Canis lupus familiaris: one gene and its partner. The protein of the gene in region 1 purifies or fractionates together with the protein of each later gene. This does not show direct contact. Links are inferred from orthologs where the notes say so. Each region holds a gene or a part of one and is shown in the gene's direction. Other genes may lie near its edges. The genes, in order: SH3PXD2A and FGD1.

Region 1 (3,817 bases):
CCCTCGTGCAGGGCCTAGTTACATTTCCAGCTGAGAAACCCATTTGGGAGTGTGGGAGGGGAGTGGGGAGCTTTCTTGGCAGTCCCGGGAGCAAACTAAAGCCTATGGGCTCACCTCTCCCTACCAGCCTGCCCTCCAGTCAGTCCCCTCTGCCCTGGGGTTCTGAGGCCAGCCAGCACCCTCCCAGGGGGGCCTTGTTCGCAGGAAATGTTTTTGGGTGCTTTGGAAGCGGCTCAGCTGTAGTGATTCCACCCAGTTTCCGACAGTCCCGCATCTGTGGGCAGGATGTATGCTCTGTGCTGGCTCCCACAGTGGGAACAGGATTGACCCAAGTGACCTGGGCACTCCATGACAGTATCTCAGACCACAGCAGACTGTGGTGGTGGTAAGATGGGGCTGTGCTGACAGGTAAGGTGAAGGTCATTGGCCACATGGGCTTCGGCCTTAATGTGACTTCTAAGACAGAGCTGCCCCTGCCCTTGGCCCCATGCACACCAGTCAGGAGGGCCAAGGTGTCTCTTTCTGCTCTGTTAGGTAAGACAGGCCTGTTGCCCAAAGCCACTGCCCTAAACTTTCACGTTCTCTAAGAAACTAGACCCAACCCCCAAAGCCAGCAACCACAAGTCTGCATGGGAAGGCCAGCAAGCATTCTGATGCCGGCTGGTGACCCAAACCACTTGCCTGGTTGTCGACAAGGCTACAGGGTCTCTTTAGTTCCTAAAAATGACCCAAAGGTCATCTGAGCCGTCTTTTCTAATCAACTCTTGTCCCCATGGCCTGACTCTTTAGCTAGTGGGGGCTTCCTCTGAGAAAACTTTCCTGAAAAGATTCCACCTTAAGGAGGCTGCCAGACACCCCCTGAAATATGCCCTTTCCCAGCATTCCAGGCTCTGTGTTGATCCTCATTTCCTGTCTTTCTTCTCCCCTCTCCCTTCACACACACATCCCCTCCCTCTCTCCCCATCCCTCCTTTTCCAGTTGGCTTCCCTCTGGAGTCATTCCGTGCTCCAGAGCTGGAAAGCAGATGTGAGTAGAGCTGGGCCCAGACGCACACAGCCGCTCCTGATTCCCCTGCATCTCTCTGCCCGGAATCTAATTTTATCCATGTAACACCAAAGGAATACAGCAGGGTTTGAAATGGGAGCACTCCAGGCAGTGAGCAGGGCTGACCGTCACTCCCATGAGACCCCGCTCCCCATCTCCCCACTGTTCTGATAGAAAAATACTTGCAACAGCCGCAACAGTTCTACTTCATCTTTTCTCTGAGATGCATGAGCACCAAGTTCTGGGCCAGATGCTGCCAACAGCTAGCCTGTGACCCTCTGCTACTTGCTTTGCTTTTCTGAGCCTTGGTTCTTGGCTCCCATGTAAGATTAGGCATCTTTACGTCTTTTGGTTCCATCCACCCCTGAAATTTCTGTGCTTCTGTCTGCACCCATTACCTTGGGAAGCCAGGCTAGCCCCTTGGCTTCTGTCCATTTGTTAACTGGTGTCTGCCTTCCAACTCCCAAACAGGGGAGGGGGCCAGACAGGTGAGCTCAGGACAGCCTGCCTGTTCGTTCCAGTGGTGTGAACATAAGAAGCCACCTCCCACCCAAGCTTTCCAGCATAGCTCAGACATGTTGATAGAATCTTTAGCTTTCACATTCCTTTTTTTCTCTCACCTAATGAACACCCAAGAACAGGGTCAGATTGGGGAGGGGGAGGGATGGTCAGACATCTGGCACAGAGGAGCCATTCCAAAGAGCCAGATGTATCCCAGGGAGCAGACAGGGACGCTGCACCCCAGACTCGAGGGCATTGGCCAGTGACTGCTAGACCAGGAAGTGAGCTGCACGAGGGCTTGGGTAGGAGCTCTCAACACCATGGGGGCAAAAGGAAAAACTTGTTTTCAGAAGTCATCAAATCACCTCAAATTAAGTCAGCTCTATCATTTGTCATTTGCTTTTGTTTATGGGTTTTTATTTTATTTTCATTTTGTTTTGTTTCATGTTGGTTTTGTTTTGCCGTACCAAAGGTTTTCATTTTATCCAGTCATGTGCTTTTAGTCTTTTCATTTATGGTTTTGGCTTTTGGAATCCTATTTAGAAAGATTTTCTTAACTCCCAAGATTAAACAGACACAGCTTTTTTTTTTTTTTTTTTTTTTTTTTTTTTTAATTTTGTTCTAAGGTATGAGGCCAGATCTCACTTATTTTTCCTAATTGGGTAACCAGTCATCTCTAGATGGGTTACTGATATCTCATCCCCACTCAAAGTTGAAATGTTACCTTTCATATCCATCTGTTTATGGACTTGTTCTGTGAACTTGATCCATCCACCACCCACACAGTAGCACCGATGCCTCACCTACCGGGTCACTCTTCTTTATGGACCTCTTTGTAGTTGCTCTTGATATGTTTACCTTTCTGGATAAATTTTTGCAGCTACTCTATCCCTACAGTTTGCAGAAGAGAAAAAAAAATTGAGCTCCAGGGTAGGGACTTGCCAAAGGGCCAGAGACCAGAACTCAGGGCTCCTGCCTCCTTTTACCTGTGCCACTTCTTCACCTCTCTGATAACACTTCCCTTTGCTGGGGCCATCTAGCCAATACACCGCATCCATGCTTGCTCTTGTCTCTAGCGTTGTCCTCTCTGTTGTGAGGTAACAGGCCTATGTGAAGTCTACCTTTTGGGTACCTCAGAACCTGAGGAATCTTCTAATCCTGATGTCCCACATTTGGCTGACTTCGCAGTGAAGGAGAGCCCACACCAAGAAGGATAAGACAGAGAAGAAGGAGACAGGAAGAATTCGTGTTCTAGGTGGCTTTCCATCTGCCCTCAGTTCTCCTCTCCAGAGTAGTGGGACTGCCAGGTGTCTTGGAGAACATGGGAGAGGCCAGGCCCGATGGAGCCTGGGCTGTGAGGTCAGGCAAGCAGCAGTGCTTGGGTGATGCCGTGTCCTGCCCCTCCCCACAGGTACCTGGGCAAAGAGGGCTGGGCACCAGCCTCCTACCTGAAGAAAGCCAAGGATGAGCTGCCGGCGCGCAAGAAGAATCTCGCAGGCCCTGTGGAGATCATCGGGAACATCATGGAGATCAGCAACCTGCTGAACAAGAAGACATCAGGGGATAAGGAGACTCCACCAGCAGAGGGCGAGGGCCCTGAGGCCCCCATCACCAAGAAGGAGATTAGCCTGCCCATCCTCTGCAATGCCTCCAATGGCAGCGCCCTGGGCGTCCCTGAGAGGAGCATCTCCAAGCTGGCCCAGGGCTCGCCAGCTGTGGCTAGGATTGCCCCACAGAGGGCCCAGATCAGTAAGAGCCTCCTTGACCCCTGCATCCTCCCTGCACAGCTCTTTAGAAAGTGGTCACAGGGTGCAAGGAAAGCCAGAGGGGTGTGCGGGACCCCCGTATCATTTTCTTCCTGAGATCTAGACTGACCTGACCCTAGCCTCACTCCGTGAACTTGTTGCCTGCTCGTCATGAGTAGACAAAGCAGTTCCTCATGACTGTTGCACTGAAGGTCAACTACAGGAGTATATGAGCCTGTGGCATTCCCTCCTTCCCTAGAAGAGAGCCAGAGGTGGTCGCTCTGTAGATCAGTGTGTCCTCCAGGCTGGGAAATACGAGCCCCCTGCGCAAGGGTGCTTTACAGAGTGACAGCCAACAGGGCATCTTTCCTGGCTTACCCTTCCTTCCGTGTTGCCTCTCACCACTTACTGGAAGCCTAAAAGACTTGGAAGGAATGGCTTTACCTCTCCCCAAGCAGTTTTAGAGGGCATTCTTAGGAACATCGTCATCCTTACAGGAGAAACCCAGTTACCCAGATCCCCCCAAA
Region 2 (3,817 bases), on another chromosome or scaffold:
AGCCTGATGTGGGATTCGATCCCGGGTCTCCAGGATCGCACCCTGGGCCAAAGGCAGGTGCCAAACTGCTGCGCCACCCAGGGATCCCTTTTTTTTTTAATTTTTTATTTATTTAGCTTTTTTCTGATTATAAAAGTAATACATACTCTTTGTCAAAAATATGGAAAATACAGAAAAATCTAAAGAACACAGTAAAAACCACCCATAGCATAGACCCACCATCCAGAGATGGTCAACTCTTTAAATATGGCTATGTTTCTTTTCAGTTACCTATGTAATTATTATTATAGTTATTTTTAATGGTAATAATAATCCTAAGTTTGCATGTTATTCACTGCCAGTTATTCCATGCAGTATGATTCTGTTATTGTGGAATTAATTGAGATAGTTTCTGATTTTAAGTGATGCTGCTATGGACATCCTTGGGGCTGGTGCTTTCTGGGACAGGGAGGGTGTATTTAGGCCAGGAGGAAGCATTCAGGGAGCAAAGAAGCTCCCAAGAGCCTCCTCTCTGCTAGTTCCCCGTTTGACCTCCCACTCTGCCCACAGAGTCTCTGGAGCTGATAGCCACAGCAGCAGAGCACTCTAATGCTGCCATCCGCAAAATGGTGAGTGGCCCTTCTAGCCCCTGCCCTTCCTTAGCCACCCACCTGTGGTGTCTTTGTACTGGGGAACTTGCTATTTCTGGACATGTAAGGGGCAGCCAGCACCCCAACCCTGCCTTCTGGTTACTGTCTCCTGCCAGGAGCGAATGCACAAGCTGCTGAAGGTATATGAGCTGCTAGGGGGTGAGGAAGACATTGTCAGCCCCACCAAAGAGCTCATAAAAGAAGGCCATATCCTTAAGCTGTCAGCAAAGAATGGGACCACTCAAGACCGATACCTCATACTAGTAAGTGCCAGGTGTGGGGTTGCACACATTGGGTACTCACTCAAGACTATACCTCTTGCTAGCCATTCTTTCCTCTATTAATTCATTGTATTTTTACCACCTACACTAGGGATTTTTTTTTCTCTACTTCAGAGGTGATGTAACTAAGACTTGGAAGTGACTTGCCATAGATCACCCAACTAGAAAGCGACTCCCATGCCTAGGCTCTTTCCTCGTGACCATTGTGCTCAATCTGGGCTGTGCTTTCTCCATCTGTTGCCTTGATTCCCCAACAATAAAGCTTCAGGAGTCCTATAAGGATAGGGGGCTGGGCCACACCTCTCCACACACATCCCAAAACTTTTCCTTCGTAGTTCAACGACCGCCTCCTTTACTGCGTGCCCAGGCTGCGGCTCCTTGGCCAGAAGTTTAGCGTACGGGCACGCATTGATGTTGATGGCATGGAGGTGAGCACCAGGAGGTGGGAGATGGGGACCTGGAGTGGGGCCTTGGTGCTGGGAGGAATAAAGTTGTTCTGCTCTGACCCCAAGTCTTTGCGTGCATGTGTGCAGAGGGTAAGGTCCCTGTGGAGCTTAGTAGTCCTCACAAAGCCTCTTTCTCCCTCCATTCAGCTAAAGGAAAGCTCCAACCTCAATCTGCCTCGGACCTTCCTGGTGTCAGGAAAGCAGCGCTCCCTGGAGCTCCAGGCTAGGTACTTGCCCTTACCTATACCTTCCCTCCAGACCCCTCTTTCGCTTCAGATACAAGGCATTCTAGGCCTTGTGCCAGGCTACCTCCCCAAGGAAGAGATTGTTCCAGAGAAAAGATGGGTACCTTTTCCCAAAGATGCAGCTTTGCTCTTCTGGTGGGTTTTGTTAGAGGAGAGGGAAGAATGAGATATTAATCCAAGCAGGAATGACAACAACATAGTTTATTGTAGATTCAGAGATTTAAGAGAAATCACAATAAAATGCAATCCTTGGTCCATGAAAGTAGCCTAATTTGAGCAAAACCCTAAAATATATTTGCAAGAAAATAGGGAAAATCTAAGTGTGAGCTGAACAATAGCTGTTGGGGAATTATTGCTAACTTTTTCAGGTGTGATAATGGTATAATGGTTATACAGGAGAATGGCCTTGTTTTTTTCATGTTGCACATTGAAGATTTAGTATCATGATATCTGTAATTTATTTTTAAATGATTTATCAACCAAAAAATACATACACATGTACATATATTCACACACATAAATACATACATACATATACATATATATGAAGTAAATATAGCAAAATATTTTTTAAATTTGCATCTATAGGATAGGCATACATTTAATGAATTTGTGTTATCCTGTCTTTTTTGTACACTTGAAATTTTTTATAAACTTTTAAAAATAGTAGCATTTAAAAATAATGCCTAGCCATTTAATAAAGAGGCTTTCACATCCATCCTCTACTTGGATGATTATAATAATAGCTCACATTTAGTGAAGACTTGCTCTTATGCTAGGCACTGTTTTAAGTTAATTTTAACTTAATTTAAGTTTAAACTGACTAGTTGAATCCTTAACACAACCGTTGAAGTAGCTACTGTTACCATCAATCCCATTTCACAGATGAGCAAACCAAGGCACAGAAGAGTTGTGTACTTTGCCCAACATCCCACAGCCAGAAAGGAGCAGAGCTGGAAATAGAGCTCATGCTGCCTGCTGAGGGCCCAAGTGATACGGTATCATGGTCAGGGTCAGGGCCAGAGAATGGATGCATATGAGTAGATGATCTGTTTCTGACAGGCTGCAAGGAAGTGAGAAATGAGAGTCAGAAGCCTCATTGCTGGGATTGCATGGAGGCAGGAAAGAGAGATGAATATGGCTAGAAGGTGTCCTCCTAGAGGATGCAAGATAGGTGTTGGCTTTGAAGCTCTGGGAGACTGAGAGACCATCAGCAGCCAGGAAGCAAGAACAAAGTAAATGATGGGCACATCCAGGAGAGGGCTCAGCAGAACCGGAGTGACAAGTCACATGACTCAGCTCTTCCGCTGGGAGGATGGGAGGGAGGGGGCCTCAGAGAGACAATGGAGCCAAAAGGAGTACTGAGCAGTGCAGGATTTCCTCCTACTGGCAGAGGAAAGTCATGAAGGCTTTGCAATTGCTTTGCAATTGATTGTACTGCCCTTTAAAAAATTTTTAATGAAAAATTTCAAATATCCAGAAAATTAGAAATACAACAAACACCCATATACCTACCATTTAAACAATTGGTACTCAACCTTGGCAATGCAGGAATCAGCTGGGGAGCTTTTAAAAAATACTGATGTCTTAAGGGGCACCTGGCTGGCTCAATCAGTAGAGCATGTGACTCTTGGTCTTGGGATTATAGGTTCAAGCCCCACGTTGGGGGGATTACTTAAAATATTTTTTAAAATACCGATGTCTGAGACCCACCCCCAAAGACGGAATTTGTCTGGGATACAGCCTCAACATGAGTTTTAAAAGCTCCCTTGGTGGTTTTAATGTGTGCATCAGGGTTTGGGACCACTACTGACTTAGAAGTCAACAACAATTGACATTTTGCCATATATAGCTTTGGCTAAATCATTATAAATTAAAGACATGATACTTCACCCCAGGCCTTTCCTCTATTTGCACACACACACACATACATACACACACACATTTTCTTTCTATATTGTATTATGAAAATATTCCAGGGCAGCCCGGGTGGCTCAGCAGTTTAGCGCCACCTTAAGCCCAGGGTGTGATCCTGGAGACCTGGGATCCAGTCCCAAGCGTCAGGCTCCCTGAATGGAGCCTACTTCTCCCTCTGCCTGTGTCTCTGCCTCTTTCTCTCTATGTGTCTCTGATGAATAAATAAAATCTTTTAAAAATAAAAAAAAGAAAATATTCCAAAATATAGAAAAGTTTAAAGAATTATACAGTGAACAACT

The links.
Region 2: the proteins of SH3PXD2A (region 1) and FGD1 purify together in Homo sapiens (affinity purification with mass spectrometry; 3 studies listed by BioGRID and IntAct, with this or other methods). This does not show direct contact. The link is inferred for Canis lupus familiaris from reciprocal best matches to the Homo sapiens genes SH3PXD2A and FGD1.

What each region holds. Positions count from the first base shown.
Region 1 is NC_049249.1:16,143,535-16,147,351, reverse strand, and holds part of SH3PXD2A (SH3 and PX domain-containing protein 2A), read left to right. Parts: intron 1-2,956; coding exon 2,957-3,294; intron 3,295-3,817. UniProt on the Homo sapiens protein: Adapter protein involved in invadopodia and podosome formation, extracellular matrix degradation and invasiveness of some cancer cells. Binds matrix metalloproteinases (ADAMs), NADPH oxidases (NOXs) and phosphoinositides.
Region 2 is NC_049260.1:46,537,565-46,541,381, reverse strand, and holds part of FGD1 (FYVE, RhoGEF and PH domain-containing protein 1), read left to right. Parts: intron 1-549; coding exon 550-608; intron 609-745; coding exon 746-892; intron 893-1,245; coding exon 1,246-1,338; intron 1,339-1,503; coding exon 1,504-1,583; intron 1,584-3,817. UniProt on the Homo sapiens protein: Activates CDC42, a member of the Ras-like family of Rho- and Rac proteins, by exchanging bound GDP for free GTP. Plays a role in regulating the actin cytoskeleton and cell shape.